Linked DNA regions of Lepisosteus oculatus. The protein of the gene in region 1 purifies or fractionates together with the protein of each later gene. This does not show direct contact. Links are inferred from orthologs where the notes say so. Each region holds a gene or a part of one and is shown in the gene's direction. Other genes may lie near its edges.

Region 1 (6,757 bases):
TTTCTAGGAGACTTTTGGCTGCTTGGATCAAAAGTGATTACTGAATCTAATAAATTTGCAAGAGCTTATATCAGTGGTTCTGACTGCTCATCGTTCAAACTTTTTGGGTTGGGGGACATTTCAAAATCCGATGACAGAAACATATTTCCCCGAAGAGTCTCCTCCCTTTTTTCCTCTGCAAACCCCTCCGCCTGCAAGACTCTCCCCAGCCGCCCTGTGCCACCTCGTCTCATCTCACCCACTGGAGCCCTGCGTGCTTTTTGATAGGAGGGGAACACTACACACTCTTGAGCCCACGTTGCAAGTTTCCACTTTCCCCCCCGACAGGCGGAACGCCAGAACCAGCGCCTCTTCCCCTGTGCGGCGAACCCCGGCTGGCGCCCTCACCTGCGGTCGTGCTCGGCCTGCAGCAGAGGCAGCAGCGCGATCCGAGCCTCCAGCTCCTCGATCAGCAGCCGCCTGGAAGACGCAAACACCACCCATCATGACGCGCGGCCTCGACTCCGCACTCTGGGGAGACTTTTTTCTCTTTTTATCGAGACCTTTTCACACGGGCGTGTCTTTCACACGGACACATTAACAAACCTGAGCCTCTAAAAAAAAACAATCTCAAATAGTCATGGATCCCCAAGACTTGCCAACCCCAAGGACAGACTTCCTTTCCCATCAGCCTCTCAGGGCCTCCAGTAAATGACAACCCCCCCCCCCCCCCCATGGGGCAGGACAGGGCACCCTTCCCGGGCAAATTATACTGGCACAATGCCGATGGGCATTCGTGTTCTCAGTTTCGTGCGGCCACTGAAGCAGCTCTCTCTGAGGGCGGGCACATCTCCATGACACACCATTGCTAATGGGAAGGTTTAAGCAAATACAACTAGAAATTAGTTGAAAAACTGTATCCACACGGGACAATATTCAGAGATTTCATTTTGCCACAACAGATTTATTGTTCCTGATCTCTACAATGTGCCGCACTGTGTATGTCCCAAGAGATCAGTGAAATTAAACATTCTAATGTACAAGTACATATGGCAATAAACTACTCTAGACCAGCGGTTTTCAACCTGTGGGCCAGTGGGCAGTACTGGAGAGGGGCTGTCAAATGATTGTTGTAATTGTGAAAGAATCATAAATATATAACATTATATATATATAATATAAATAACAATATAAATAATGTATAGATATTATGGCTTAGCATGCTGCATGACAGCTTTACAGGTAATGAGTCCCCATTACCTGTAAAGCGCTTTGAGTGGAGTGTCCAGAAAAGCGCTATAGAAGTGTGAGCAATTATTATTATTAATTATTATTATTAGATGTGACATGACGAGAAAGCTAATGCAGAATGTAGTATTAACTGCCTAATCACCCTTCATATCATGGAGAAATGGCTTGTGTTTGGTTCTCTTATGAGACACAGAGGAAGGCCCATCTACAAGCACAGAAACTGCTTCAGTGTCTCATACCGATAACCCAAAATCCAAACCCAAACTAAAGAAGAGAAAACATAGCAGTGAGTACCTGGCTCTGGGCTTTCCGTGCCTGGGAACTGAGACAAGCCGCTGCTATTGAGTCACTGTGCATTCACGCGTCCAGTGGAGGGGGAGTTAACATCTACTTCTGTTTAAGAATTGTTCTGATAGTTACCGTGCAGATTTTTGCTTCTCAGCGTCTTCATAAGGTCATGGGCACAGAAGGCTGCCCCACACTTCTGGAAACACTTTCAGCTCGTTTGATCCCGCCCGTTCAGTTTTGTTTTGGACAAGGCTAGCGTTAAGCGTGTGAGATATCATAATAAAGAAAAGAGCTGTACTGGTGCCTTAGTTTTTACAATATTTGTTTTATTTTTATTTTTATTTATTTTATTTACTTTTTGTGAGGTGCTGACTGGACTCCTTCTGTAATCAGTAATCGGTCTTTGTAAAGCCATGCTTGTAGCTCGTATGCACGTATTTTCTCTGATCACCGGTGTCGATGAGGCTACTGCTGAGGTACAGAGCGAGCCCGTTTCAAAACGGTGAGGACGGCCTGGTCTCTGTATGGGACCAGTTTTTATGGTCAGTCATGTGGGCCGCGTGCTGTAATAGGTTGGGAACCTCTGCTCTAGATGGTTTCCTTGTCTCTTAGGGTAAAATAGGAAATAGAGTCTAAAAGGAACAGATTGAAATGTTTTATTTACAAAGCGCATATTGATAGAATGATTGCTCTGAACGTAGTCCAGAACGTTGTTTTTGTACAGTACAATTCTTTCATGACATATACGTAATAAACACAGAGGAAACTTTTCTTTGGGGAAAACCAACAAACAATATGGGAAAAACTGTTTTTTTTTTAATTTAGAATAAATATAATCTCCTGAAAAGCAATTCTCTGAAAGACAGTCTGAACCAGAAAGGCCAGCTTACCGTCTCTCCCTGTTCCACTTGAAGAGTCGCCAGTAACCGAAAAGCAGGGCCCCGATACCAATACCAAACATGCTATACCCTGAAAGTGACAATAAAGAAAAGATCAACGGACAACTCCACTGTCAGAGAGCAACTACTCCTCAAGCTCGGGGAACAAGGGGGACGGCATCAGTCCACCCCAGGGGCAGGGAGAAGAGGAGAAACTGCAATAGCCAATCCAAAAGAGCACCTGGTGCAAAAACCAGATGATTAACTTCATTCCAGGATGTTTATTTTTATTTTCTTAGTTGTTAAAAGGGTTGACTGTCTGTGAAATGTATTATACATTGTGTTACGACTTTAACTGCGTGCAAATCAAACAACCCAACTGGGCCAATATAGAAAGTAAGGACTGTAATTACTGTAACCAGAGTTTTAGGGTGAGATGTGACTGAACACGTAAGCTTTTTGTGCATCACTGACGTGTTCCACCTGAAATTCTCACGCTTCTGGACGGTGGTGTTATTTAATAGAAACCTAAATAAAAATAAACCAAACTTTCTCGAAGGAGAAATAAAAAACAGGAAAACGAAAAGCGAGTTTTCAGAACTCATTCATTCCTCCCTGGTGAATGTCATTACCTTACTCACAGGTAAGCTACAACGGATACACCTATACTACAAAACCGGAGCATGCAAACTGTCCTAAGTAAGAATTGATCGTTTCCATTACATATATAGCGATGCAAAAACCGTTTTATATTAAGATCTGTGTAGATTAAAAATGAACGTTTATGAGACCTATGTCTGCATGTAAACACTACATCAAAGACAAAGGAAATGAGTCCAATACATCTTAGAAAACAGGATACATTTATGGCTTTAATAGACGTGGAAGTGTTTGTTTTGTTTTTACAATTACAACATTACATTTTTCTATAAATTCTGAGCTCAGACAGAGGTGTCAAAACTATCGAAAAGACAAGCGGAGCCCAGGACTACGTCTGCCGTCCAAACAGACCTCCAGGTTAAAGAGGGGAAACACAAGCCTCCGCGCTTTTTACCCTCATCGATTGAGCGGCATCAGTACTGACCGGAAAGCCCTCTCTTCGGGAGATTCCTCTTGTAGTCAAAGGAACCGTAGCCCCCCGGAGGAGGCATGTCCTGCTTCACCTTGGACGTCGCCATTTCGGTTCCTCACCGCAGCTGCAAACCGCGCAGAACTGTGACGTTGACACGCTGGCCACGCTTCTTGATGACGTCTTCACGTCCTCCGTTCCGACAGCACGCTTCCGCCATGCTGGATTTGGCAGAGTACTGCAGGTGGAGTATAAACTACCACTGACTTAGTGGGAACGCAGCAGTGCGTATGGAAATTGGAAGGACTACTTTGAATTCTCCTTATTACACGCAATAGTTTTCCCTACCCCAGAAGATCAACGGGAGTCCAAAATCAAGATGTAAATGCCATCGTCCCCTAAAGATATGCGATATGATAACTCTAACCGATAACCGTTTACTCCTATACTGGAGTCCTTGCACTGGTTCCTCTACGGTTTTGTCAATTTTGAAATCCTGATGTTCATCTATAAAGCTCTGCATGGCTTGGCACCTCAGTGCCTGTTTTGAGTTACTATCGTCCTACTCCCCACTGATTTCTCATGCCATATATTAATATTTTTATCCAGGCGTGTTTTAACGTATAACCCCTACGATACATAAAAGTGCGTTAAATATTAGTCTATTCTGCGTATTAAAAAAATAAAAGTTATCCCATTAAATATTTTTGAATACTTTTAAATATATATCAATTTATTATAGAAGCATTAAATGCCTTTGCATTTCGCAACACTAAAACACCCACAAAAATGATTATGGAATAATTATTCATTGATAATTCAAAAAATTATTCATTGTGGAGTCGTAGTTGAATTTCTCGCAGACTAAAATAAAGGCATTTAACTTTACTTGGAAAGTAAAGCGTCGCATATATATTACGTCCGTGTATTATTTACATATTGTGATATTCTGCCCAAAATATTTTTTTTTATGAGGGGAGTTTTAGTGCATAACGTAAATAGTGTGAAAGAATCTATCATTTACGGTGCTTTCCCAAACAAAAACCATACAGTAACATGATATTAACTTTAACCGTGTAATATGAACATAAAGAAAATGCGAATCTTGACGCGTATCTTTAAATCAACCCGTAACTAAACAGAAAACATTGTAAAGTAGCTTTGAAGGGGCTCTAGGCTTGATGGTTGAAAAATCATCAAACCTCGATTGAAAGCTGATGTTCAGTTGTGCAATATGCTTCACTCAGATCACTCCGTGTACATGCACAACTGACAGATCCAAATAAATGTAAGTAGCTTCTGAAAAGACGTCTCCGAAATGTAAGAAAATCTACCTGATAGGGGCGTTTCTCTAACTGTTGTATCAACTACCGGACGACCGAAGCGCAGCCCAGCCCTCCTCTGTCCAGCAATAGCGGAAAATACGTCACACATCACCTAAAACACACACACGAGGTCCAGCTACCGAAAACGTCATAATACATTCACAATAACGACTGGCCGAAGCCCTGCCCCTTAAATACTGGATCAAATGAATTTTTCGAAAGCCTGTGTTTATTTACGTATTGAGAAATCCAGGGCAGTTTGTCATTCTAAAGAGCGGAAGGGTCATCTGAAATCATTTTCAATGGCTTGCTGGGGGACGTGTGGCCATTCATACGCGACAGAGGTCACCGGGTGACGTGTGTCTAAACTTCATAAGGACGACTGGATCACAGACCGGTACCGGCACAAACCACACAGGCCTGGACAGGAGGAAGAGACCAGGGGCAGCGGCTCTCTGATGGCGTGATGGCTCTTGCACATAAACCTTAAAGGAGGAGAGCCAGAGATGTCCCGGGACAAGGTTCTGACGCTAATGGGATACACACTGGGCTTGACCATAGGCGAGGGCAGCTATTCCAAGGTCAAGCTGGCCACCACCAAGAAATACCCCCAGCAGGTGGCCATCAAAATCGTGGACCGGAGGAGAGCCCCCCACGACTTCGTCTGCAAATTCCTCCCGCGGGAGCTGGCCATCCTGAGAGGCGTGCGCCACCCCCACATCGTCCACGTCCACGAGTTCATCGAGGTGTGCAGCGGCAAGCTGTACATCGTCATGGAGGCGGCGACCACCGACCTCCTGCAGCGCGTCCAGGAGCTCAGCTCCATCCCCGGCCCGCTGGCCAAGGTGCTCTTCTCGCAGATCGTCAGCGCCGTGGGCTACCTGCACGCCAACGACATCGTGCACCGCGACCTGAAGTGCGAGAACGTGCTGCTGACCGCGGACAACCAGGTGAAGCTCACCGACTTCGGCTTCGGCCGGAAGGCGCTGGGTTACCCGGAGGTCAGCAGCACCTACTGCGGCTCGGCGGCCTACGCCCCGCCCGAGGTCCTCCTGGGCGTGCCCTACGACCCCAAGAAGTACGACGTGTGGAGCCTGGGGGTCATCCTCTACGTCATGGCGACCGGGTGCATGCCCTTCGACGACTCCAACGTGAGCAAGCTGCCGCGCATCCAGCGGAAGGCGCTCGTGTACCCGCAGGAGGTGCCCGTGGAGGCGCCCTGCCGCGCGGTCATCGGCTCGCTGCTGCAGTTCAGCCCCTCCACGCGCCCCTCCGTGCAGCAGGTGTCGGAGGACCCCTGGCTGGGACAGCAGGGTGACCAGTAAACATGCCGGGTGGCTGGGAGAGAGAGCCGTGTGCTGTCAGTGTTTTGAGTCCACCCAGTTCTCGGTGTTGGTACATTTGTAGTGATGGTTATGGATGCAAATGATCCTGTATCCTGGAAAGCAAATGTGTTCAATGGCCTCGGCTCTTTTGTCCTCATATTCTTTGTTTTTATTCTTATTTTTTTAACCCTAAAGAGAAGCGAGGCTGGGGTGAGAGCAAAGCCGCGTTATTCGAGTTAGCGGCTCTTCCGCGGTTTGTCAGCGCGGGGGGTGGGACTCGTGCACCACGCACTCGTGATATCAAACAGCTGCGGTTAGGGGGAAAAAAAATACTGTTTAACCTCAGATATGAAACCCCTTGAGGTCTGGCACTGAAGAGTCCTATCCCAAATTGACGATTTAATTATTTCAAAATCCGAAACACTGCTGATAATGTTTTTGATACAGAAGGTCTAAACATGGTCAAGAAAAATCACAGTCCAGCACGTCTTAGGGGACAAACCTCCGTTAATCGTACATTCGTAAAAATATGGAATACAAACGCCTACTTGCTCAATTTAGTTAAAGCGGTATTGTTCAGTTAAATCAGGGTCACCTGTAATGTAGCCATCAAGAGCTACAGCAGGGATCTCCAGTCTTGCT
Region 2 (7,307 bases), on another chromosome or scaffold:
CAAATAATGGCTCAGAAACCAGTTGAACCCCGTGACAGACAATGAAGATGAGTGTGTACAGTTGTAACTTCTCAATATTGTGGTCCAGTCTGCAACACCAAATGTGAAGCTGGTAACCTGATAGATGAGTGTTACGATCTAAATCAATTTTTCTATCCACAAGTTTATCTTGATGTCACTTGCACTTCTGCAATAAGCCTTATCCTGCTCTGGTGAGAGCTGCTGACAGCAAGGTTGCAAAAGTCAGATCCAGCACTTGTAATAAAACAGTGTTTCTTACTCTCTTTTGTAATATTGTTGGCTTTTACAGTAGTTCCTCAATGTTTAGCAAGAACATTGACTTTCAGTACCTAATCTGTGAGCAGAGAGAAAGATAGCCCAGAACTGTTTAGTGTGCAACTAGTGTTGGTACCAATCCATCTGTTAGCCTAATGATGTGTGGTGAATTTGTGGCTATACTTGTATTTGTGAAATTTCTATACTCCAAAAATTAAATAATGCTGAGATTGAAAAGGAGGCTTTAGTTTTTCTCATTTGAATTCCACATTCAGGACACAAAAGCTACAGGTCCTTCTTTTTTATTCTCAACTGCATCAGACATATCACTGCACCCAAACCAGAAGGTAATGCATCACAGGATAATAAATTAATAAAATATCCAGGTCTTTGAGGGAAGCAATATTCATCCCAAGGTGATGCCAATCTGGCATGATGTGACGTGGAAAATTAACAAAGGACTCTAAAGAGCTGCACAGATTAAATCAAGAGATGCTAAGCAGGACACTTGAGAGAAATGACATTGAGACCAAGGCGAAGAAATAACTTTTGTTTTAACTAAAAGCAAAAGAGAGACATAAAAGGTAGAGCTGTAGATCGGGAAATTGGCTCCAAAAGACAAGTATATCATGAAAATAAGAAAAATCAATGAAGCACAGAACAGTATTGTAAACGAAAAACAAAATGCTAGTTTTCAGTAGATATTCAAATAGACGTCAACACACGCTACAGGGGAAAAGAGGTAATGTTATAAAGCATTTATTATGTTGTTGACAAACATGGACAAAAACTATGTGACCTGAATGAAGTACTGAAGAGGAGGTACTGTATACTAGAGCAAAATTCAAAGGACATTCTATGTCTGAAGGACAATAGTAGCTTTTATTTTTTCTAAAAGGTCAGCCTATCTAAACTAATATGTATGAAATACTATGGATACTGAAAGAAAATCTTGTTTTCATTCACAATTCTCAGGTGAACTGAAATCTAGTAGCTATTACGGCCAGCAGCCATATCACCCTGCAACTCACAACTGGCAACCCACTGAAGCTAAGCAGGTGTGAGCCTGGTCAGTACCTGGATGTGAGACCTCCTGGGAAAAACCAAGGTTGCTGCTGGAAGAGGTGTTAGTGGGGCCAGGAGGGGGTGCTCACCCTGTGGTCTGTGTGGGTCCTAATGCCCCATTATAGTGATGGGGACACTACACTGTAAACAGGCACCATCCTTTGGATGGGCGCTTCTCAAAAAGAGTAAGGGTGTAATCCTTACCAATCATGGCCTCCTAATAATTCCCCTCTATGAATTGGCTCCATTACTCTGCTCTCCTCCCCACTGATAGCTGATGTGTGGTGAGCGTTCTGGCGCACTATGGCTGCTGTTGGTGGTGGAGGGGATCCCCATTACCTGTAAAGTGCTTTGAGTGGAGTGTCCAGAAAAGTGCTATATAAGTGTAAGCTATTATTATTATTATTATAGTTCAGGTGGGTAGCTGCATCAGCATGCGTAGGCTGCAAAGGAACAAGTAATAGGTTTATTCCACGCTGAAAAAAAGAAGAGAACACAACGTTTCGGCCGTGGACACGGCCGAAACATTGTGTTCTCTTTTTTTTTTGGAAGCATCATATTATTATTATGATGATGGTATTAATGTGCTGATAAATGTGCCGGTGTTGTACATGAAATTAGCCTTAAAATTATATCAAATATAAAAATACGTTGAACATACCTACCATATTTAATATTCTCAAAATGTTGACCGTATTTCAGTGTTAAAAAACTCTGACATACCGTATTTACGATACGTAACATCAGACTGAAGGATCTGTGAGTACCTTTTAACCAGTCCTTATTGTATGGGTAGCAACAACCCAATAAAAAATAGTATTAAAAGCAAACCAGAACTAGATAGTTAAAACTAAACATCCATTGTGACAATAAATTATTTATTGTATAATAAGTTATGTTATTGTATAATAAAAAGGGGTGGTAATATTATTATTATCGTTTTTTTTTTAAATTAAAACAGCACTTTAAATATTTTTCTTTTTTCATACTCTCCTAAATTTTATAACCACATATCGACACAATATTTAATCGTAAATTCAAAATTAAGAATGTTCTGGATTGTACACATAAATTCTAATGCAGCTCAAGAAAATATATTTAACTACGGAGGCAGTTGCGCAGTTGCTATGGAAGCAGCTTGTTGCACGACAACCGAAAACGAAGCCCGGCAAGAACACCGCATTTAACATCCTGTGACGTCAGGAACCCGGGCGGGGTTTATGCAGAAATTTCTGGAAAAACCTAAGCACGCATTCGCGGGTATGTCTGTATCCTTCCGTTGGAGTAAGGAGTTCCATAATGAATCACACGTGAGAAGTAGAAATGTAGCGCATATCAATTCAGCCATGAAGAATTTGGTATTATAGAAAAAAATCATTTTGGAGTTAAAGATGGGAAGAGGATATTAACAAAATATCACAAGTAAAATATAACCAAACGTTAACGTAAAAGCGATATTGGTATATTATGTATTAAGATTCATACCATAGCATTCAGATATACACCGTATGTACTGTACTTTACACCCCTTCTCGTGACGTCCCTTCTGAAAAATGAAATACAGTAAATTTGTACCGTATTCCGCACGGTATTATCCATTATCCTTTCTATTTTTTAAAGAATTTACCACACTTTACACATTTAGTATGTTTCCAAGGTTTCTAATGGTGCCTTGCAATATTTCTCCATGTTCACCGTGATGTGTACATGGTTTATACACTTCTACTTTTCCTGCCTTAAAGATACAATAAAAAAGTTGTGATATTTTTTTTAATTTGCCTCTTAAAAGCTATAGGACAATTTACTGTTGTTGTTTCATCTGTCATCTTATTAACAGTCATCATTAGTATCACCAGACAGTTCTGAAAATAGGCTCGGGGTAAGTGTTTTGCCAACAGGCAGATTAATGTACAGTATCATATAGCAATGTTGACGTTTTGATATTCATGATAATTTTGATTTGGAAGTAGCAGCTACTGCCAGATACTAGTGCTAGATCCCCAACCTCATTTCAAAGCCACACTACATTTATGTATATTTTCACATACATTTCCAACACAATTGTGTTATTGAGATTTTTTGGATATATGTAATAATACAACAAAAATATTTTCTTTGCGACGAAAAAGCGATTTTATATATATATAACATGGAAAAGTACCACATCTCACGTTTTTTTGTTTCATGTACAATGCCCTCAAATTTGAGTATCACGTTATCATCTTTTTTACCCTACAAGGCTGTCCCGTGCAAATCTTCGAGGGTTGGTGTGTTGGCAGGTTGTCATAGTCTCTATAAATCATCAGTACCCGACAAGATGGGGAAAGTTTTGAACTGGTGCAATAAAACCCATAATAGACTGACAAAGAGCCAAGCAAGAGCAATGACCTTAAGACAAGAGACTGCAGCCTTAAGCACAGTGGTGCTGTGTTTATGATTGGTTTTAGAAAATCCTATACAATGATTTAAAGGCTAATACTGTATTTACTTATTTCTAATTACGTATTACGCACTACACAATACATAGACCTGAATAAATACCCATTCCAGTTTCTCATTGGGAGGCTGCAAGAACAGGGAAATAGCGCTTGTTTACGCGGATGGATACATCGGCAAGCGCAGAGGGTATAAAGATACTGTCTTTTAAAAGGAAATCCCTTTCAGTTTCTCAGCGTCAGAGTGCTTGGGGATCAGCCTGTGTGGTTGCATTTATTTCAAGAAAAGAACAACAGCTAAAACGTTAAAGGTACGTTTCTTTCCCCTTTATGAGTGTTATATGTGGTATTTATAGGTGAGCATAATAATTTTGTAAAAAAAAAACGTACATTGATGAGAGATGAGGTTTCGAAAGAGTGGTCCAAGGTACAAGGCTGCCTCCTGATCGCTGGATTGAATGAGAAGAAACATAAAACATGGGAGAAAAGAAATATCTAGTTCCCCGAAGCTGGGAATGTTCCAGCTTATTAGTGATCAGAGTAAATTTCTCTCAAAGGTAGATATGCGTCTAAAACGTTGTTTAGTACAATGGTTTCTGATGGAATCGTGATGATTAACTATTTAATTCTATAGATACATTTCCAGCACCTCCGATTGACATTAGTTTGCTGTAAGAGATCTAAAACTTACAGACGTTCCCGGTTTGTTCCATGAAATAAGTACATCGCTAGCTCTGACGTGAATAACATGCTGTATCACGCTTTGTCTTCCTGTATGTGAACGATTTATCCGTGGACATAAGCAGTAAAAAATGTGTAATCGACTGGATAGCGTTATGTTTTTTTTTAGATAAGCCGAAGTGAAAAAGATGTGCTATTCTTTCACTTGCAGCATAGTTATTATTTATTCTTGTTAGAAGGTTAAACCCACGTGTTCTACGTTAAACTGCATAGCAGGTGCCGCCATATTGTTCGGCTCCGGCGTCACTTCCGTCTCGAATGTATTGAATGATTGTGCGGAAAATAAAATGGAGTCTGTCCCTTCCCTTTCTTTAAATTACCGTTGAAGATCGTGCTATTTTTAACACGATCTTCGCTCCTTTGTTGCTTAGGAGGTATGTTTAACTTGCATTCCCAGCTATGATTGGGTGCCACTGTGCTGCCAAAAGCTGGCACACTGCAGGTGAAGGCTGGAGAATGCTGCATTGCGCCACACTGTTCATTTTTCTCTTGCTGTACTCGATAACGCAGCTCGAAATTCAAAGAAAGGTTTCATTTTACCCCGAGACTCGCGAGTCTGTTTTTGGTTGAGGTTCAGTTAAGGTGTCTCATGTATTCACAATAGCTCATTTATAAGCAGTTATCTTTGGATTTAGGTTTGCTTTATTTAATGGCTTATTGTGTGAAGCTCAGTTGTTGGAGTAGTTTGCTGCTGGTCAAAATTTACATTTGAAAAATGTAGTTGATTTATTGTTAAACAATAGAATTTTCCTTAATCTTCCAGAGTACAAAATCAAGACGTGCTGTATGTAATCCAGGGATAGGCAAGTCAAAGCGGTTGTCAGTTACTGCTCAGGGCTGCACAAATACCCTTTCTTGGTGATCCCTTTCCCATCAGTGTCTTATGTGATGTTGGCACACCCTGTAGTCCCAAGGTGCCTTGTTAACCCTGATATCCTGTCTGAATTCCACACTGGAAAATGTTCTGTACTTAATCTGCTGTGTAGTGGGGCTGCAGGCCGCTGTATGTCACCCAGTTGGGTGCTGCACTCCAGGGTGGCTGAACAGGGCCCTTTATTTAGTCTCCGCTGTTCCTTAACCCCTGTATGTATTTGTGTAAAAATAAGTGAGTGTTTCTCATCATTCTTTTTTTTACTTTTTATTTTTTAGATGCCTGAAGAAATGCGCCAAGAAGAGGAGGCTGAGACTTTCGCCTTCCAGGCGGAGATTGCTCAGCTGATGTCTCTGATCATCAACACTTTCTATTCCAACAAAGAGATCTTCCTCAGGGAGCTGATCTCCAATGCTTCTGATGTGAGTCCCCTGTGTCTCAGGATTTTTGGTCACATGTGATTGAACTTCTATTTAATGAACCCTACCTCCATCGAGCTTGGTTCAATGTTGCTTTATTTAAAAACAGCTGTGGCTGTTTTGTAATATACCTCTTGCTTACATTTTAAAAGTATTGTAAAAATATTTTTATTTGTCTCTTGATTACCTAAACACCTCTCAATCCTGTCTGCTTTATTAAAATGTAAATGTTATGGATTTTTAGGCACTGGACAAAATCAGATATGAAAGCTTGACCGATCCCTCCAAACTGGAAAGTGGCAAGGACCTCAAGATTGATGTCATTCCAAACAAGAATGAGCGTACCCTGACTCTTATTGACACTGGAATTGGGATGACAAAGGCAGACCTCATCAATAACTTGGGAACCATTGCCAAATCTGGCACAAAGGCTTTTATGGAGGCTTTGCAGGTATTGCATCACAAAGCTGAGAAATGCATTAAAATAATTTACATTAATAATGTAACGTCTTAGCGGTGCCATTGCACAAACAGTTTAATAGTAAATGGCTTTTGTTGGTTAAACTCTTATCTCAATGTTTGCTCTTCCAGGCTGGTGCTGACATCTCCATGATTGGGCAGTTTGGTGTGGGGTTCTACTCTGCTTATCTAGTAGCTGAGAAAGTTGTGGTCATCACAAAGCACAATGATGATGAACAGTATGCCTGGGAGTCATCTGCTGGAGGATCCTTCACGGTCAAGGTTGACCATGGTATGTGGCTTTGTTAGATGACAAATTAACCTTTTTTATTACCTTAAATTCAACAGCTTTTGGATTTTCATCCTGCAAAGTGGTCAGGCCATAAAACTGGTGGCAGAGCATTATATTTTCAAAATCATTCATATTTGGAGTGGTACCTGTTGCCAGGTGAAACCCTTTTCTCCAGAACACTTTACTTTTTGCCAAAGACTTACTAAAAAGCAGGACAACACTCTTGAAGCTGTAGAAAACAAGAACCTTTAACTAATAAAACTTTTTTTGAAGGTGAGCCCATTGGTAGAGGCACCAAAGTCATCTTGCACCTGAAGGAGGACCAGACTGAGTACATTGAGGAAAAGAGAGTCAAGGAAGTTGTGAAGAAGCATTCACAGTTCATTGGGTATCCGATCACTCTGTTTGTAAGTATTTTGAAAATTGGCCTTTTCTCTGTACAGTGCTTGTGTTCATAGCAAATGATTTTTTTCCCCTTGCTTTTAAGCTCACAAAAGAGACTTTACTCACTTTGTTCCAGAACATGTAATGTTTAAAAAACAACTGTCCACCAGGAATAATAATGCAGCATGCAAGCTTTAAATGAATTGCTCAGTAGTTTTTATGGTATTGTTTATAGTTACAGGCAAAACGGTGAAAATTGGTACAACTTGCTTTTAAAAGCAGAATTATGGGAAAAGCCTTCAGCCTTTCTCCCATGATCACGTTTCACTCCGTTGCAGGTTGAAAAGGAGCGGGAGAAGGAAATC
Region 3 (7,831 bases), on another chromosome or scaffold:
GCCAGGTCGCAAGCTGTTTATCCCTTGAACTCCGGTTTCCTCAATAAGATGAATTTAGAGCACACAATTTATTCTGGTGCCTTGTCTTTCTCTCTACACGTTTGAAATCCCTAATCCCAGCACACTCGCACAACTGAATCCCCGAAGGAAGAGAGAAGGAGGGTAATGAAAGAGAGAAATGCCAAGGGGAGAGAATTAGGACCTGTCGAGGCTAGGGAGGGATGGCTCTCTGGTGGGAATTAACTTGGCTTTCTGAGCACATGGGGGGAAGGCTGTGTCTCATTACTCTCGGCTTCTGCACACTGCTGCTATCAAAGAGGCTGAGAGGGATTTTGAGATGGAAGATAGAAAAACCTTTAGCACACACAGTTCTCTTTCAAATTATCCAGCTTTACCGTTACTGCAGCTAAATGCATTTGTTCTTCTTCAAGATATTAAATCCGCAGACAAAGGAAAGTTCTTAAACATTCAAATAAGAGTAATTTTATTATTTTGTCTGATCTAGAGCAGGACTTTCTGTTTTAAATCCTCAGATTCCCACACACTCTCTGGTTTGGTTTTTGTTCTTCTCATTTAATTAATTGAACCTTTAAATGAGCTTTATTGGAACCATGGTGCCTTCAAAGGATTTCATTGCACCTCTGCTTTTATGGTCCTGAATGATGTCATTATTGGCCATCGTCGGACCAATTAAAAGACTTCTCCCAGCTGTTGAAGTGCTGGTGCCTCAAAGAGACCAAACTTGCACGAGCAGAACCAGAGCCTCCTTGATCTATAACAAAACAGAACAACTTTGTAATTCTGGCCCTGGTGACAATAGTGTCTAGACTTTCAATTTCTTCATTCAACAAATAATTTGACTTTTTAATAATTAAATTGATCCTTTTGAAAATCGTTTTCTGTGACTAAAAATATTATATTTTCAAGTTATTTAATGAATGTTTAGTTGTACAATTATTTGACTTTTATTATTATTATTAAACTAAAATTAATATTGATGATGATTCAATTACAATGCAGAATAATTAATAACCTGATAGTGCCCTCTGCTGGTAACAAACCAAACTACAACTTTAAATTAAAACTGGGGTGCTATCTGCAGGAGGTTTGTGTGTTCTCCCTGTGTTTGCGTGCATTTCCTCCAGGTGCTCCGGGTTTCTCTCACAGTCCAAAAACATACTGATCTTCTGTGAAAATCAGCCCTGTGTGTCTGTGTATCTGCCCTATGACTGACCTTCATCCCGTCCAGGGTGTATCCTTGCTGGGATAGACTCCAGCTCCCCCACAAACCCTGGATAAAGGGGCTAGAAAATGGGTGGAAGGAATTTATATCAAGGCCTATTCATGAGGAACTCAGGTGGACGTGCATTCCAAACTGAGAACAGAACAGGTGGTGAGAGTTTGAAACCATCTACCCAGCCATGTATTTGATTCCGATACCCTGATTTATGTTTTTCAGGAATCAGCTGAATAAAATCTTTGGATGAATTAACTGCTAACTACCAAATGGACTAGATGGGCTTGGAACTTCTGTACTTTCCAGTTGTGGCCTCTGCCTGATATTTCAAATATTGATTCTAAGTAAGTCCATTGGGTTGAGCATGTCAAATTCTTGTTAGGATTTCGGGTAATTGAATCAGTTCCCCTTTGTACAGAGAACAAAGAATTAATTCAGTAAATCCTATAATGTATCTGGTTGCTCTTTTCTGGATTGGTTCCAGAACAGCAGTATATTTTTTCTAATGTGGTGACTAAAATGGTACACAGCATTCTAAATGAGGTTTTACATAAAAAACTTTGCTTTAAATTTTCCACTTAACTATACATCACAAAAATTCTGATTGTGTTTTTTATTACTGCCCCACAACATATATGATGTGTCTGATAATGGATGGATGAGAGAAGCAGATTTGGGCTCTTGAGTTCTAATTGCATGTGATTAGCATTCCTGTCACTTCAAGGCAAATTGTTATTTGTGAGCCTCCCTAGGTGTGACTCATCATTTTAATTGGATTTCTGCTTTTTGTGTATTCTAAAGACTTTTCTATTCCGGGCAGAGCGTTGGCAACACAAATACATTTTATTTGCCTTTCAGTTCTGTTCATTCTAGTCCATAATGGGAAAAAAAATCAGCTTTCTCTGGAAAGGAAAATGCAACTCTTGCTTAACATCTGTGAGAAAAAAGTGTAGGTGGGTATCTGCGTCAGCATGCATAGGCTGCAACGGAACAAGTAAAGGTTTATTCCATTCTGATAAGAGAAGAAAGAAAACACAACGTTTCGGCTGTGGAGCCTTCTTCGGGTGTGAGGTTTACTTTCATGTGGCAGGGCTCCTTTGCACAGACATCCTCGGTTCATGTTAGTATGACAGAAACTGAGCATAACCACATTGACGGTGCCTGCGTTATATAACTCTTAATGCCTACAGAGGGCACATGAAAGATGAGCTGGCTTCTAACTAAATACAATGCAACCTGCAGTTAAATCTCTCTCTCTGCACCCCAGATGCCACAAAATAAATGGGAGCCTATATCCCTATCCATAAAAATGCACCCTTAACAGGAAAGATGTTTCTAACTGAGGTATCTTTTAACCTGAAACCCAAGTTCCCTAAAAACCCTGAATAGCAAGCCCTCTCTAACAAGGTCAAATACTTACTGTAGCTCCAGCCAGGTTTGATTTGGATGGGAAGAGGCCCAACGAGTCTCCCTCTACGAAGTAGGGGCTCTCACTTGGCGCAACTTCAAGTCCCAACTCCTCCGGACTCCTCTCTGTTCCCTGCTTCTTGTTTCTTCCTCTTTCTCCCCTCTCTGTGCTCTTGTGATCTTATATTGTGTGTGTCTGTACTGCTTCTTGAAAATCATTAATCCACAAGGTACCTAGGTATACTAAGGTCGACTTTACAGTTGTTTCTGTTCAAGGGACCCCCCCAGACCGCAGCAAACATCCTCTGGGCTTTGAAGTTAGAAGTGTTTACTCTTCCAAGTGTTACAAACTTTATCTAAAATCTAAGAGACACTTCTCAGTCATCTAAAGCTCTAGCAATATTGTAACGCTACACATGGTTCACATGGGCACCCTCACCACTGCCACATCAGGTCAGCCCCCCACCGTCAGGGACTCAAACCCAGGCCTCCGGCATCACTCAACAGGGACCCAGCCTCTTGAGCCAAAGGGAAATCTCCCATCAGCCCAGCGGCTGCAGTCCCTGCTATTCACAGGGAAGGGCAGTGACATCACCGCTCTGGTAAGCCAGCTCTCACAAGCAATGGAGGCCGTATGCGTTACAATATGCACAGTATAGTTATTCCTGTCTGTGTCTAGGATGTTGAAGACTTGTGCACAGCAATTTACACAGCTGTGAGTCCAGTTGTGATGACGGCGTGTTTTCTGTTTTTTATATTTGGAAGCAAGTTGCAGAACTCAGCATTTCTTTAAACCCAGAATTTCCCGCTGTGCCCAAGTTTGGTCCATTGCCAATATGTATTGTTGGTAATGAAGGACGAATTAAAACTGGAACGTGTCTGGAGACGCTTCCAGATTCTAGAACACGGCGCTCCTCAGGCGTCTGAGGGAGGAGTGGGGTTTGTGCCTGGAAACGCCATTACCAAATAGTAGTTTTTCACAATGCCCATCCTTCCGTTTTCTAACTGCTTCTTCCAATTCAGGGTCGGGGGGAGCTGGAGTCTCTCCCAGCAAGGCAGGCTGCACTGGGGACGAAACGCCACTCCATTGCAGGCCACACACAGCACACACACACTCGCACCAGGGCCACTTTTCCAGAAGCCAGTTAAACTGCCAGCATGTCTTTGGACTGGAGCGCCTGCAGGAAGCCCGTGGGAACATGAGGAGAGCGTGCAAACTCACTGCTCCACCGTGGCGCCCATCACAATAGCCAGCGAAGTGTAGAAACAACCAACTTTATTCAATCCGTTTAAAAGCCGCCATCTCAAAGTGCTTGTAAGATGCCAAAAGAAGAGAGACAGTTTTTTATCAAGCTCAGTGTCCCCCTAGCCAAAGTGGGACTCGGGTTTGGAAATTCTGGTCCACCGACAGCAGAAGAGCGACTGTAATGTTTGTTCTTTTGTTAAGCATAAATAAAATTTAAAAAAAGAAAACAACTGAGATTGACATTATAGTCTGAAAACAAGACTGTAGCACAATGTCAGTTAAAAATGAAATAGTCCACTTTAATATAAAATGAATTTTGTGGATATCAACCCTAGACTTATGTTTAACAGATTATTTTCCAGTTGGAGTTAATCATGTTTTTAATGTGTAGTGCTGAATTTAATTTGGAACAAAATATTTTCTTCATACCTATAGTATAATCTCTTGCCGTACGGATGTCCGGCCGCCTGCTGCCCGGGTGGGCGCAGCCATATTTGCATGGTCTTTTCCAGACTCGAGCCACAAAGGGGGAGGGACGTCGACGCTAGAGAGCCGCTCCTGCTGCTCCGCCGCGAGCAACAGAGCGGCGCTTCACCGATTTCTCGAAGGGGCGCGAGAGAGGGGAGGCTCCGGGGCCGTACGGAAGTGACGTTCCACACTTCAAACGGAAGCAAAAGAGATTTCGAGAAAGATTCAGAGGCAAGGCGAGTGACGGGTTGGAGGTAGATCGGAGTGTTCTTGGGGTGTTTTTTTTTAAAGATTGCTTCAAAATTTAGATCACCGGGCCAATAAGTGTTGAGGTTTTTGTTTGTGTGCTGTATTTCTTATCTTTTAGAGTTCATTCACGCGCCGGGCTGTCCGTGCTTGATCCGACCTCGCAGCGAAGATGACAACTATAGACTACAGCGTGTGGGATCACATTGAAGTATCTGATGATGAAGACGACACTCACCCCAACATCGATACCCCCAGCCTGTTCCGTTGGAGGCACCAGGTGAATTAAATAATCGGGCCTGACACAATGAATCGCGATGGCGTTTGCAGGGCACATAAGCATGTCTGTGAACGTAGAATTTTACTAGGGGCCGGGGGAGCTTTCTGTTAGGGGCTCACTAATCCACCGCCCACGACTGCAAAAAGTACTGGAGTAACAAGGCAGTTCATTTTATTTTATAATATTTAAAATGCCTACTCCTAAGAGCTTGCCTTGATTCGTGCACGGTACTTTGTGGTGCACCAATAACAAAGACCCGACGATGTGTTTTTGCAAAAAGGCGGTACTTCAAGCACTCCTCAAGTCTTCCCAACACGTTTTGGAATACATCCCCCCCGGGGTCTGCGCTGTTTGTGCTCAGTTGATGCTGTTAATGCGCGTATGTGGTTCTGGGGGTGCTGTCAGCCACAGTTGCTGGGTGTGAGAGGGCAGGAACCAGGCTTTGCACGGCCTCTCGGCTGCTGGTGGGACCTGCCTGCTTTCGGAAGGGGGCTGCTGTGCCAGGAGTGCTCTGATCCCGGCGGAATGCGACTTCCCTCGAACAGCTGTGCTCTTTCTAGCCCGCTGGTGCCGGCCCTCCCGCCCACACTGGGGGGATTAACCCCTGGCTGCTTCACTCTCGGTTGATTTTACTTTTAACTACATGTTTAGCATCCCGGCCCTTTGACAGGAGGGAAGTAATTGCGATAATTAATGACGCAAAGGGGAGGGCATTAGAAACTAGAAAGGAAGGTGGGAGGAAGAAAAACAGCGGAAAAGGAAGTTGCATGGGGAATATAGATCAATGGAGAGCCAAAGGGAAAAACATATCAAATGATCAGGTATTTAAGTGCTTATATCTAAATGCTAGGAGTAGGGGAAACCAAGTAGAGGAGAGAGAGAAGCTACCACGTTAGCAGGCAGTTGTGAAGTTATTTTAATCACAGAGACCTGGGTGCCTGAGAATGATGGAGAGAAATGTAACATTAGTGGAGACACTCCACTCTGTTCCAGAGAGGCAGGAAAGATGAAGGAGGGGAGGGGCTGTAGCTGTATAGATAAAACGTTTTCAGCTTCAGGAAGCTCGAGTCTCTGGATCTGTGTGGGACAGGCTCATTAACGGAACATTCCAAATGTACAGGGTTCGGAGTAAGATATAGACCAGCAGATGCTGATTATAATTTGGCACTGTGTAATAAAGAAATGTGCATAAGAAGCAGTTTTAATGGGAGACTTTTTCCAAGGCAAAGACGAATAGGATTATCAATGGCAGAATCTCTCACCCACTTCGCCAGTGCATCTGCAAGGAGGTGCTTGTATAGATCTCGCCTCATCAAAGTCAGGACAGGCTAACAGAAACAGATGAGTGCACCACCAGCGTGGTGTGCACAATATATTGTGCTGTGAAGTGTTTTTGTGTGCGTTACAGACTGAGTGCCAAAGCGCAAAGTATTACAATTTCCAGGAAGCAGAAATTTAAGAAATGGACTTTTAAGGAGGCGGAAGTGAAATAAAATGGGTTTCTTACCAATTGTTAGCCATGGAAATGAGACATTATTGAGAATACACTGATGCAGCCCTTCAAGAATCGTGTAATACGGTGGTTGTACCCAGGAACTGGAGAAGTGTTAACTGGTGTGGACAAAAAGTGAATACTCAAACTGGGGTGGTGTAATAGGTACCAGAGAGAACTGTACCAGGATGATTGCTTTTCTTAATTTATACAGATTAAAGGCCTTGTCACTGCAGAATACAGTAAAATAGACCAGCTGTGTTTTCTCTTTCTGTTGGGGGCTGCCGTTTCCCTGTGAGGCACAGCTTCGGAAATGGCTCCCCTGCCTCTTACTCAGCCCTCCTTCCCCGATTAGGCCAGGGTGGAGCGCATGGAGCAGTTCCAGAAGAAGCGGGAAGAGATGGAGAAGGGGCTGACGGAGTCCAAGCGGAAGACGGCGGAGCTGCAGAAGAAGATCCGGGAGCTGGAGATCTCGGGCACGGACGACGCCAAGGCGGAGCTGCCGAAGCTGCAGGCCGAGGAGCAGCAGCTGAGGAAGGAGGAGAAGAAGTGGGAGAAGAAGCTGGACGAGCACCGCAGGGAGGAGAAGAAGCAGCCCTGGAATGTGGACACCCTCAGCAGGGAGGGCTTCAGCAAGGTTAGTGTGTGTGTGTCCTCCCCAACACCGCCACTGCCAAAAACCAGTCCAACAAGTTTAGTTTTGTGCAGGCCGCCGGCCCGGGTTTCATGGGGTAGAGCCTCGATCGCGTTTGTAACAGGCAGTGACTGAGATGAGTGCTGGCGTGCTGCCGGCTGAGCACTGCTGGGGTTATGGTTCAGATGAGTGGGCCAGGGTCAGCTCTACCAAATGGCAGCTATTGCCACATCCTGGGTGCCTGCTGGTTTTGTAGTGACACCAGCAAGGGCCAGAACTCTGTTTCATGCAGATGCCAGAAGGTCGGAGGAGCAACACTGCCCTTTCTTATTTGCCTTCTTTTGGTATTGGGATTATTGCATGGGGTTATTGGGAGCTGTAATGAAATGCTGAGCCAGTTAAAACTGGGTGGGTATTACGATGGGAACGTATAATACAAGTGTAACAAAACAAGAAGATAGAAAATGGTTCCTGATGAGCAGTGGCCATTTGGCACATCTTGCTGGTTTGATTGATACTTAGCAGCCTTATAGACCAAAGACGCAGGGCAGCACATGGGCAAGGGAGATTAGCACAGCTGTGAGGGTCTGGGGTTCGATTCTGTGTGGAGTTTGCATTCTCCTCCCATGTTTTCACCCCACCTCCTGAAGACATGAAGTTGAGGTTTGGTTGGCTGCTCAGAATGCCCCCAAGCCTCTAGGTGTATTTCCAGATTCATGAGGAAGCTGGTCTCCTCACCTTGTTACTTTGGTGCATCTCTCCCCATTACCAGATCTGGTGAAGTGTACAGATCCGGGGATCTAAAAATGACCTAAAAATCT
Region 4 (8,059 bases), on another chromosome or scaffold:
CGGACGAGGTGAAAACGGGGCGATAAATGAGCAGTGCGAGGAGAGGTTCACTCTCGCGCCCCTCCTCCGCCGCTGCGCTGCTACAGGCGCCGAAGAGCTGAAGTGTGACTAATAACCGTCCGCGAAACCGCTATCGCACCCGCCTGGGACCGCTGCTCTGGGGACACAGGGAGGTGGAGTGAGGGCGAGATAACACGGAACTGGGGGTGGATACATCAAATGCACGAGAGACATGCTAACGAAGCACCTTGAATTTAATTGAATTGATGAAAGCAAGAGATAACATTATTAATCGGAGCCCGACCCACTGAGGTCTGCACATGCGCTTCCCGCTCCGCCCCCCACCCCCCTCCGTACCAGCTCTTCCCGGCCGTGCTGCACGAGCCGCACGCACTGCCCGAGCGCGCTCAGCGTGTCCCCGCAGCTCGAGGGCAGGGAAGCGCAGTCAGCTCGTGCCCAGTCCCGCACGGACAGCGATTTGACAAGGCGCGCGGACAGGTTTGCACGTCTTGGAACACGTGGTTGGTAAAAACCCAGTGCAGCGTGGACAGGGTGCAAACCACGTGTTCAGTCAGGGAAACGATATAGAAATACGACAGAGATGATTTTTTAAGCGCATTACCCCGAGGCTGAGAAGAACAGGGCTAGGTGGAGAAGATCTCCCCCGTTTTTATATAATCTGTCCCATTTCTGAATTACCCAAAACAATCCCTTTTCTAATTGAGACTCTTAATATAACCAGGACAGCTACTTCTGCTGATCTTTGTGTTTTCAGAGAAGCAAAACCAGTTTACACCTTATCTAAGTAATCCTGATTGATTTTAAAAGGTGTTTAAACATCTGCAGGCAATGGAATGAAGCCAGTCATTGAATTACTTTAAACTGGATGTAAGTGAGTACATGTGAGTCTGCAGCTCCAAATCTGTTTTTGTAGAGCCAGATTAAAAGGAAGCTAAAAATCCGAAGAGAGAAAGGCTGAAGACTTTGGGAGTGAAGGACTAGGGAATCAATCAATCAATCAATTAGATTCTTATATTGTTGCACTTTCAACCCAGAGCATTCTCAAGGCACTCTACAAGTTAGAGTGCGCCAGCAATCAGTGTGTCCTCTGCAGGCGGGGGAGTGATCAGTGTGTCCTCTGCAGGCGGGGGAGTGATCAGTGTGTCTTCAGCAGGCGGGGGAGTGATCAGTGTGTCTTTAGCAGGTGGGACAGTGATCAGTGTGTCTTTAGCAGGTGGGACAGTGATCAGTGTGTCTTTAGCAGGTGGGACAGTGATCGGTGTGTCTTTAGCAGGTGGGACAGTGATCAGTGTGTCTTTAGCAGGTGGGACAGTGATCGGTGTGTCTTTAGCAGGTGGGACAGTGATCAGTGTGTCTTTAGCAGGTGGGACAGTGATCGGTGTGTCTTTAGCAGGTGGGACAGTGATCGGTGTGTCTTTAGCAGGTGGGACAGTGATCGGTGTGTCTTTAGCAGGTGGGACAGTGATCGGTGTGTCTTTAGCAGGTGGGACAGTGATCGGTGTGTCTTTAGCAGGTGGGACAGTGATCAGTGTGTCTTTAGCAGGTGGGACAGTGATCGGTGTGTCTTTAGCAGGCGGGCTGTGACTGAGCACCAGTACATGCACGACAAGGGTCGGGCCATGCAGAGCCTGAAGAGACTCATCTGGCTGTCCAGCGCCATGGGGGGTCTGCACACTGCCAGCACCCGCGACCTCAGCGACCCCAGCGACCCCAGCCCGGCGCGGGACCCCCCTGCTGAAGAGGGGGCGCACGGACCCACCACCTGCCGGGGGGAGGCCCTGCGACTGCTCCTGTCCCTCCTGGGCAGGGGCTCCCTCCAGGCCCTGTGGAGCGCCCTGTACAAGCCCCACCTCACCAGCCTGCAGGACAGCACGGACCACGGAGACGGAGAGAACTAGACCCACAGGGCCAAGCAGCTGCCAGTTTCATTGATCTGTACCGAGACCTTTGTATATTTGTATTTACAGCATGCATCCAGTGGTAATAAATTTGGTCTAGTTTAGATTTCTGACCTCTCTCTTGTGCAGCGGTAAGCGCAAAAGAAAATGTCGGTGTTGTGACGTATCCCTGACACACGTTTCTTAGTGCTGGAGCGAGATGAAAGCAGAGGCAGGTATAGCACGAGCCACAAGACAGACTGCGACACCGCCAGTGCTGCACTGCGGCCTGCCGGGCACTGATGTCAGAGAGGCCCTCTGTGCACAGAAGAAGGGCTGACGTCCTAGTCACCCGATTCTCTCGCTCAGACCCCCAAGAAAGACCTGGAGAGCAAAGCCCCCCCCCCCCCTTCTCTCTAGGGTCTCACTCGCTTGGCCTCTGATCACCCCAGGGTGATCTGTGGACTGGCCGCCTTCTCTCAGCTCACGATCGTCCGTGTGCCCCTGTCCGCTGTCCCCTGTCGCAAGCACGGCCGCTTCAGCTTTTTCAGACGAACCGGCGGAGTAGACGGCGGCTGTGGGAGAAGACTGCCTGTGCCAGAGGCTTTCTCGGGGGAGAGCTTCAGGAGCTCGGAGAGAGCCCCGGGGCCCCAGGAGCTCGCAGGGAGAAGAGCAAGCACTGCTGACAGCAACACTCTCTGAGATTTCCGCACAGCTTCCTTTTCCAAAGGCCCTACATACTCCTGCTTGACACATTTACACTTCGCTGTATGAATAGGATGCTTTTGAATCACAACTGGATTATTGTAGAGCTGTATTGGGTTTGATAAGCCGATTAAATCTTCCGCTTTGGTGAAGTTCAAGGCACCTTTCTGACAGCTCCATGTGCCCATTTCCTCCCCTCACCCTGCCTGCAGACGAGGCGTTCTGCGTGAAACACACGAGCGAGCAAATAGACATTCTGTACAGGAGAAGATTCATACTGTATGTACTGTCGGGTAACGTGATAAAAAATAAAATCTGGTGGTTACTTCCGGTGCAATTGGACCCTGTCTTTTAGGACTTTTTTGTCTCTTGTTTCTGTCAGCTTCCTGTATCACCTTCCTCGTACCACATTGCGAAGGCGCCGAGTCCGAACGGGTTACTCAGAAAGTGTCAGAAGATAAAGCCCAGTGGAAGGAAATGAAACAGATTGGATGCTGAAGCAGCTTTCTGTGTGTCTGGGTTCTCTCGTTGCCTTATCTTGGGGGAGCGGTATGAAGTGACAGAGCGATGGGAACCCCTTGCTGCCTCCTCTTGTTGTGCCCCGAAGCCCAGCACCCCAGCAGACCCAGTGAATAAAGCAGGCGTTGTGCCCTGTTGCTGGGGGGTGTGCTGTGGCCCCAGTGCCGGCGTGTGATGGCATTCGCCCGCAGTTTGAGAGTGGTGCCCTGTCTTTGCCTCCTTGTCTGGCCTTCTGCTGCCCTCTGCCTTCCTGTGCCTCAGCCTCACACTGGCGCTAGGTCGCGCCAGTTTGGTGAAGACCTGGAACCTGTCGGCTTTTACAGAAAAAAGCGCCTGTGTGTCTTTTACGGTACTTCATGTGAAGGCCGCGTTGTGTTCTGATGGAGGTGCCCTTACAAGCATTCAGTCCAGTCAGTCTGCGTGGCACTCCTGCTGATATTCCCCTGCTTTCAGAACGCTGGTACCATGACATGTTTCCTAAGGGTCACACAGAGGATTGCGGAGGATTATAGAAGCCAGGAATAATAATGCTGGAATCTGGTGTTTATGGAAAAAACATGTTCATTTTTTCCATGTGCAGAATGGTGTGTGTGTCTGTGTTAATGTGTGTGTGTTTGTGTGACAATGTGTGTGATAGTGCGTGTTTGGGTGAGAGTGTGTGTTTGGGTGAGAGTGTGTGTGTCTGTGTGACAATGTCTGTTTGTGTGAGAGTGTGTGTCAGTGTGAGAATGTGTGTGTTTGTGTGTTGTGTCTCTGTGAGAATATGTGTGTTTGTGTGAGAATGCGTGTGTTTCTGCCAGAGGATGTGTGTTTGAGAGTGTGTGTGTCTGTGTGAGAATGTGTATGAGAGTGTGTGTGTCTGTGTGCGAGACGGTGTGTGTTCATATACTTCTTTAACTTTCCATTTTTTGCAGGCATCTAAATGAATGTATCGGTTTTGCATCCACGCACTGGCCGAGCCCGTTCGGACTGCGGTCTGTGAGTTAGCGCACTGTATTTTCCACTGTTCCAGGCACTATTTTTAGCCTTTGAATGAAAACTCTCAGCACACTTCCCACAGACAAATAGCTACTACGCGGCTGCTTTTTTTTATCAGATTAGTACAGGACATGTTGTACTACTTTACTTCCTCACTGCGGTGTCCTGGACTGAACTCCTCTCTCACGTTTTGTCCTTCTTGCTCTCAAACACACAGGCGGCGCCCCGCTATCTGCAGAGAGACAGAAGGGGGAGAGGGGAAAGACAGGCCACAGTGCCTGGCTCCTCGAAGCAGGACACAGGCTGTGCTGCAACTGGATTTCACAGCTGTAGCACTGAGACTGTCACACTAACAAAACTCCGCAGACAGCAAGACTGGCTGCTTGCATTTGTCAGAAGAAATTAGTAATGAGCACTTCCTTCCTCTCTGTCTGTGAATGCAAAAGTGATACGGTAAAAACAGACTCCGTAATTGTTTTGTTTTTAAACCTCGATTGCGCATGCATATGAAAGAGTTGTGAGAACAATTAAGCAGTTCCAGTGACCTTCTCCACAGCTGAAATAACTGTCTGCAGCAGGACCCTGCGTCTCACTCGGCGCCAGCAGACAACCTGTAATTGTCTGTTCCAGTCTGAAGGCACACCAGGGCTGCAATTGCATGCAGGCATGCTTTGGTCCCTGCTTGAAGGACATGAGCGCTGGCGTGTGTGGCTCTCAGACACTCTCAGGGCCGATTTCATCACTTCTCACACAAGTAGTCGTCTAGCAGCCCGTCACTAAGGAAGCTACAATGCATGGTCTGCACACTCGTCCCACACCTGGGAGGGAGGCTGGGGATCTGGTCAAGCAGTGGAATAAATGAAGAAGTGGCTTCTGGGTGTTTGTGCAACATAGATTTGAATTTCTGAGTGTTCACTCAGGCCAATACACTTGCAGGCAATGCCTTCTCTGCCATGTGACCGCCGTGGGCACAGGTAAGGATCGACTGTTTCTGATCAGCGGGGCTGTGGGTCCCAGCTTTGTGGTTGCATCTGAGTGGAAACACTGTGTGTCACTGCAGTGCTGATGCAGGGTCAGTGCACCACTGGGACCTCCCTGGTCTGGGCCTGGTCTCCAAACAGATCAGAGCGCATGGGAATAATTGCTGGGGGTATGAGCCTGGGGTCCTCAGAGACAGAACCTGTCTGTGTTTTTAGACTAGGAATGTGTATCACCCTGACCATGCAGCAGGCAGTGTCGGGGGAGAGCTTGCTCATTTGTATATAACATAGAAAGAGACAGAGCATGTACTGCGCAGCTGTGATGAAAGCTCCTGAGCTATTTCTGGTTGCAGTTAGTAAATGCACGGAACACAATGTAACTTATGTCAAATATCATCTGCCCACGGTGATCTCACTCGGGAAAGTGATGGTGATGTGTTGAGTCTGTGTCCACAGTCATTTATTTTAATCAATCACAGAGGTGTTTTTCTCCCCATGCCCTCCAAGACAGTTCACAAATTTAGTGCCAAGAGACCAGTGAGATTTCAAAGGTGCTCTGCATACTTTGTACAGTACTGAAGAACATGCCGTACAACTCCTCTTTACAAACAGAGCACTCACAGCACAATCATGGTGAAACACAGTACACACGAAACGATCATGGTGAAACAGCACAGTCATGGTGAAACACAGCACGATTACAGTGAAACACAGTACACACAGCACAATCATGGTAAAACAGTACACACACAGCACAATCATGGTGAAACAGCACGCACATGGCACGATAATGGTGAAACAGTACACATGGCACGATTATCGTAAAACAATGCACACTGCACGATCATGGTAAAACTTTGGGAGAAGTGTAAATGAATTTTGTATTTCTTATTATTTTGAATTTTTGTAATTGGCTCAGCTGGACTTCCTGAAACAGCCAGTGGTGACAAACATTCAGGGTATCGGATCGGCATCACGACCTCAGGTCAAATACCGAGACCATCGGAATGTCACTAAGAGTGTGTCACAAACCGAGTGTGACTGTCCCCGAGGTAAGACAAAACTGTCAGAATGTTTTCCGTGGTAAATTTAACAGACAAGTAAAACATTTTGACACCCCATTGCCTACTGTCAACAAGGAGCAGATTGTCCGAGATCACCCAGGGAAGGTTTTCTAAAACCTCCCTGAACGCGCACCCCGGACCCCCAGACAAGCCGCTCGCAGCGGCCGACAGAGGCGGGACACCGGCAGACTTTGGAAGAAACTGCAGCCCGACAGCAGGCACAGAGGCGATCCTCTGCTGGTGAACAAACAAGACCCTTCTACTGCGGTTTCTCTCTCCCAGAGAGGAAGAACAGCGAGACGGGCGAAACGTGAAAACGATTTACAGGGCAGCAGTATGTACAGAACATTTTGCAAAGTTCTTCAGCTAAAGGAAACTGATTCGTACTACAGTTATCTGTGTTTTAGTATCCATGATAAATATCCATTGTACTGTATATAGAAATTACACGAGCGCCAGTGGCCCCGCCCCTGTCTCGCGTCCACCTGTACTGTCACTGTGCTTCACGAGCACATTCTGTTCCAGCTCCGCTTGGCTCGCGGCCAGACTCGCTGCACAGCAGGCTGCGGCTGCGCGGTGCTCGGTGAGGGAGGCTGCGGGGGGGTTGGGGTGTATGCGGGGGGCGGTGTCATGTGGGTGGGCTGTTGGCTGGGCGAGTATTGCCCTCCAGAGCCACCCCCCCCCCCCGACGTACACACCCACAGTCACACACACTTCCACAAATATACACACACTTTAACACTTCCACACTCACTATCACACTAACATACACACACTAAACATACACACGCTCTCTCACTCACACATACTAATAATCACACAGTCTCACACACTATCATAAACATCATATCATGTACACACGCACACTCACTCCCTCAGGGCTCTGGTCTTGAGTTGTGAGTTCAGATGGGACACTGTTACTGCCCACCCCAGACAGGAGTTCAGCTCACACTGGAGTTTGTTCACTGAAGATGAAAGGCAAAGGCCCGAAACACTTGAATTTGCTTGTGGATTTGAATATAATGCACATACTGTCCTTGGTTCTGTTCAGCGCTGGAAGCTGAAGTCTGGAATTAAATGCCGCGTAAAAACACAGGGAAGCGCATCCGTGTCTGGAATGGCAACAGGAGGAATGAACAGTCATGCCGAAGCTGGAAGTAACAGAAAGCATGGTAGAGAAGTGGCTCTGTTATTTATAGCCATTTCGGTTCCTTCAGTTCTTGTCTATAAAGACTCAAGCCCAGAGAGCAACATCTTGACACTCCTTTGAGCCGCTTGGTGTAGCGGCGCAGAGCAGTGCGCAGAGTGGCTCTCTAGGGGGATGGTTTAGGGGGATCAGGGGGATGGTTTGTCCCTCATGTCTAGCTAGTGGCAGCAATAGCTGTTTGTTCCGATCAGGACTCCCCCAGTAAGTATGGTCCCCAACCCCACCTCTAGAGCCTGCTTTGTGTTTCAAGGGAGACCTTAATCACTGACACTAATTGATGCCATTAAGTGATCTGCTTGCTTGTTTGGGGTTTTGTTCACCTGTTTCTGCATTCAGTCCAGATTTTAAACATACCTAGCTTCTTCCAAGCACGTCAGCACACACAACATTATGCAATCTGCCCCAACATGTTGAATAAGATTTATGAGAACTTCCATTGAAAACAGCTCTTACTAGCTGGTCGATCCACGTAGAACAGATGCAGGTACGAGTGGCACTGTATCGGGCACACCACACAGCGGGTATGGCATTGTATAAGATACGCCCATAGTAAGGGTGACATTGCACCAGACACAACCACAATGGGAATGGCACTGTATCAGACACACCCGTAGTGTGAGTGACACTGTATCAGACAGACCCGTAGTGTGAGTGACACTGTATCAGACACACCCATAGTGTGAGTGACACTGTATCTGACACTGTATC

Evidence for each region.
Region 2: the proteins of tssk6 (region 1) and hsp90ab1 purify together in Homo sapiens (affinity purification with mass spectrometry; 4 studies listed by BioGRID and IntAct, with this or other methods). This does not show direct contact. The link is inferred for Lepisosteus oculatus from reciprocal best matches to the Homo sapiens genes TSSK6 and HSP90AB1.
Region 3: the proteins of tssk6 (region 1) and cdc37 purify together in Homo sapiens (affinity purification with mass spectrometry; 4 studies listed by BioGRID and IntAct, with this or other methods). This does not show direct contact. The link is inferred for Lepisosteus oculatus from reciprocal best matches to the Homo sapiens genes TSSK6 and CDC37.
Region 4: the proteins of tssk6 (region 1) and fkbp5 purify together in Homo sapiens (affinity purification with mass spectrometry; 4 studies listed by BioGRID and IntAct, with this or other methods). This does not show direct contact. The link is inferred for Lepisosteus oculatus from reciprocal best matches to the Homo sapiens genes TSSK6 and FKBP5.

Annotation. Positions count from the first base shown.
Region 1 is NC_090724.1:7,190,996-7,197,752, reverse strand, and holds tssk6 (testis-specific serine/threonine-protein kinase 6), read left to right. Parts: upstream 1-5,053; 5' UTR 5,054-5,296; coding exon 5,297-6,115; 3' UTR 6,116-6,140; downstream 6,141-6,757. Other genes in the region: ndufa13 (NADH dehydrogenase [ubiquinone] 1 alpha subcomplex subunit 13), read right to left, coding at 388-459, 2,409-2,487, 3,481-3,574. UniProt on the Homo sapiens protein: Serine/threonine-protein kinase component of the sperm flagellar doublet microtubules. May act as a regulator of sperm motility by mediating phosphorylation of sperm doublet microtubule proteins.
Region 2 is NC_090697.1:43,351,471-43,358,777, reverse strand, and holds the start of hsp90ab1 (heat shock protein HSP 90-beta), read left to right. Parts: upstream 1-3,977; 5' UTR 3,978-4,087; intron 4,088-5,666; coding exon 5,667-5,810; intron 5,811-6,051; coding exon 6,052-6,258; intron 6,259-6,398; coding exon 6,399-6,558; intron 6,559-6,831; coding exon 6,832-6,965; intron 6,966-7,280; coding exon 7,281-7,307. UniProt on the Homo sapiens protein: Molecular chaperone that promotes the maturation, structural maintenance and proper regulation of specific target proteins involved for instance in cell cycle control and signal transduction. Undergoes a functional cycle linked to its ATPase activity.
Region 3 is NC_090706.1:15,649,463-15,657,293, reverse strand, and holds the start of cdc37 (hsp90 co-chaperone Cdc37), read left to right. Parts: upstream 1-4,501; 5' UTR 4,502-4,594; exon of another isoform or gene 4,595-4,612; intron 4,613-4,725; 5' UTR 4,726-4,776; coding exon 4,777-4,884; intron 4,885-6,731; coding exon 6,732-7,013; intron 7,014-7,831. UniProt on the Homo sapiens protein: Co-chaperone that binds to numerous kinases and promotes their interaction with the Hsp90 complex, resulting in stabilization and promotion of their activity. Inhibits HSP90AA1 ATPase activity.
Region 4 is NC_090700.1:40,510,125-40,518,183, reverse strand, and holds the start of fkbp5 (peptidyl-prolyl cis-trans isomerase FKBP5), read left to right. Parts: upstream 1-4,729; 5' UTR 4,730-5,039; coding exon 5,040-5,074; intron 5,075-8,059. Other genes in the region: pth4 (parathyroid hormone 4), read left to right, coding at 1,592-1,919. UniProt on the Homo sapiens protein: Immunophilin protein with PPIase and co-chaperone activities. Component of unligated steroid receptors heterocomplexes through interaction with heat-shock protein 90 (HSP90).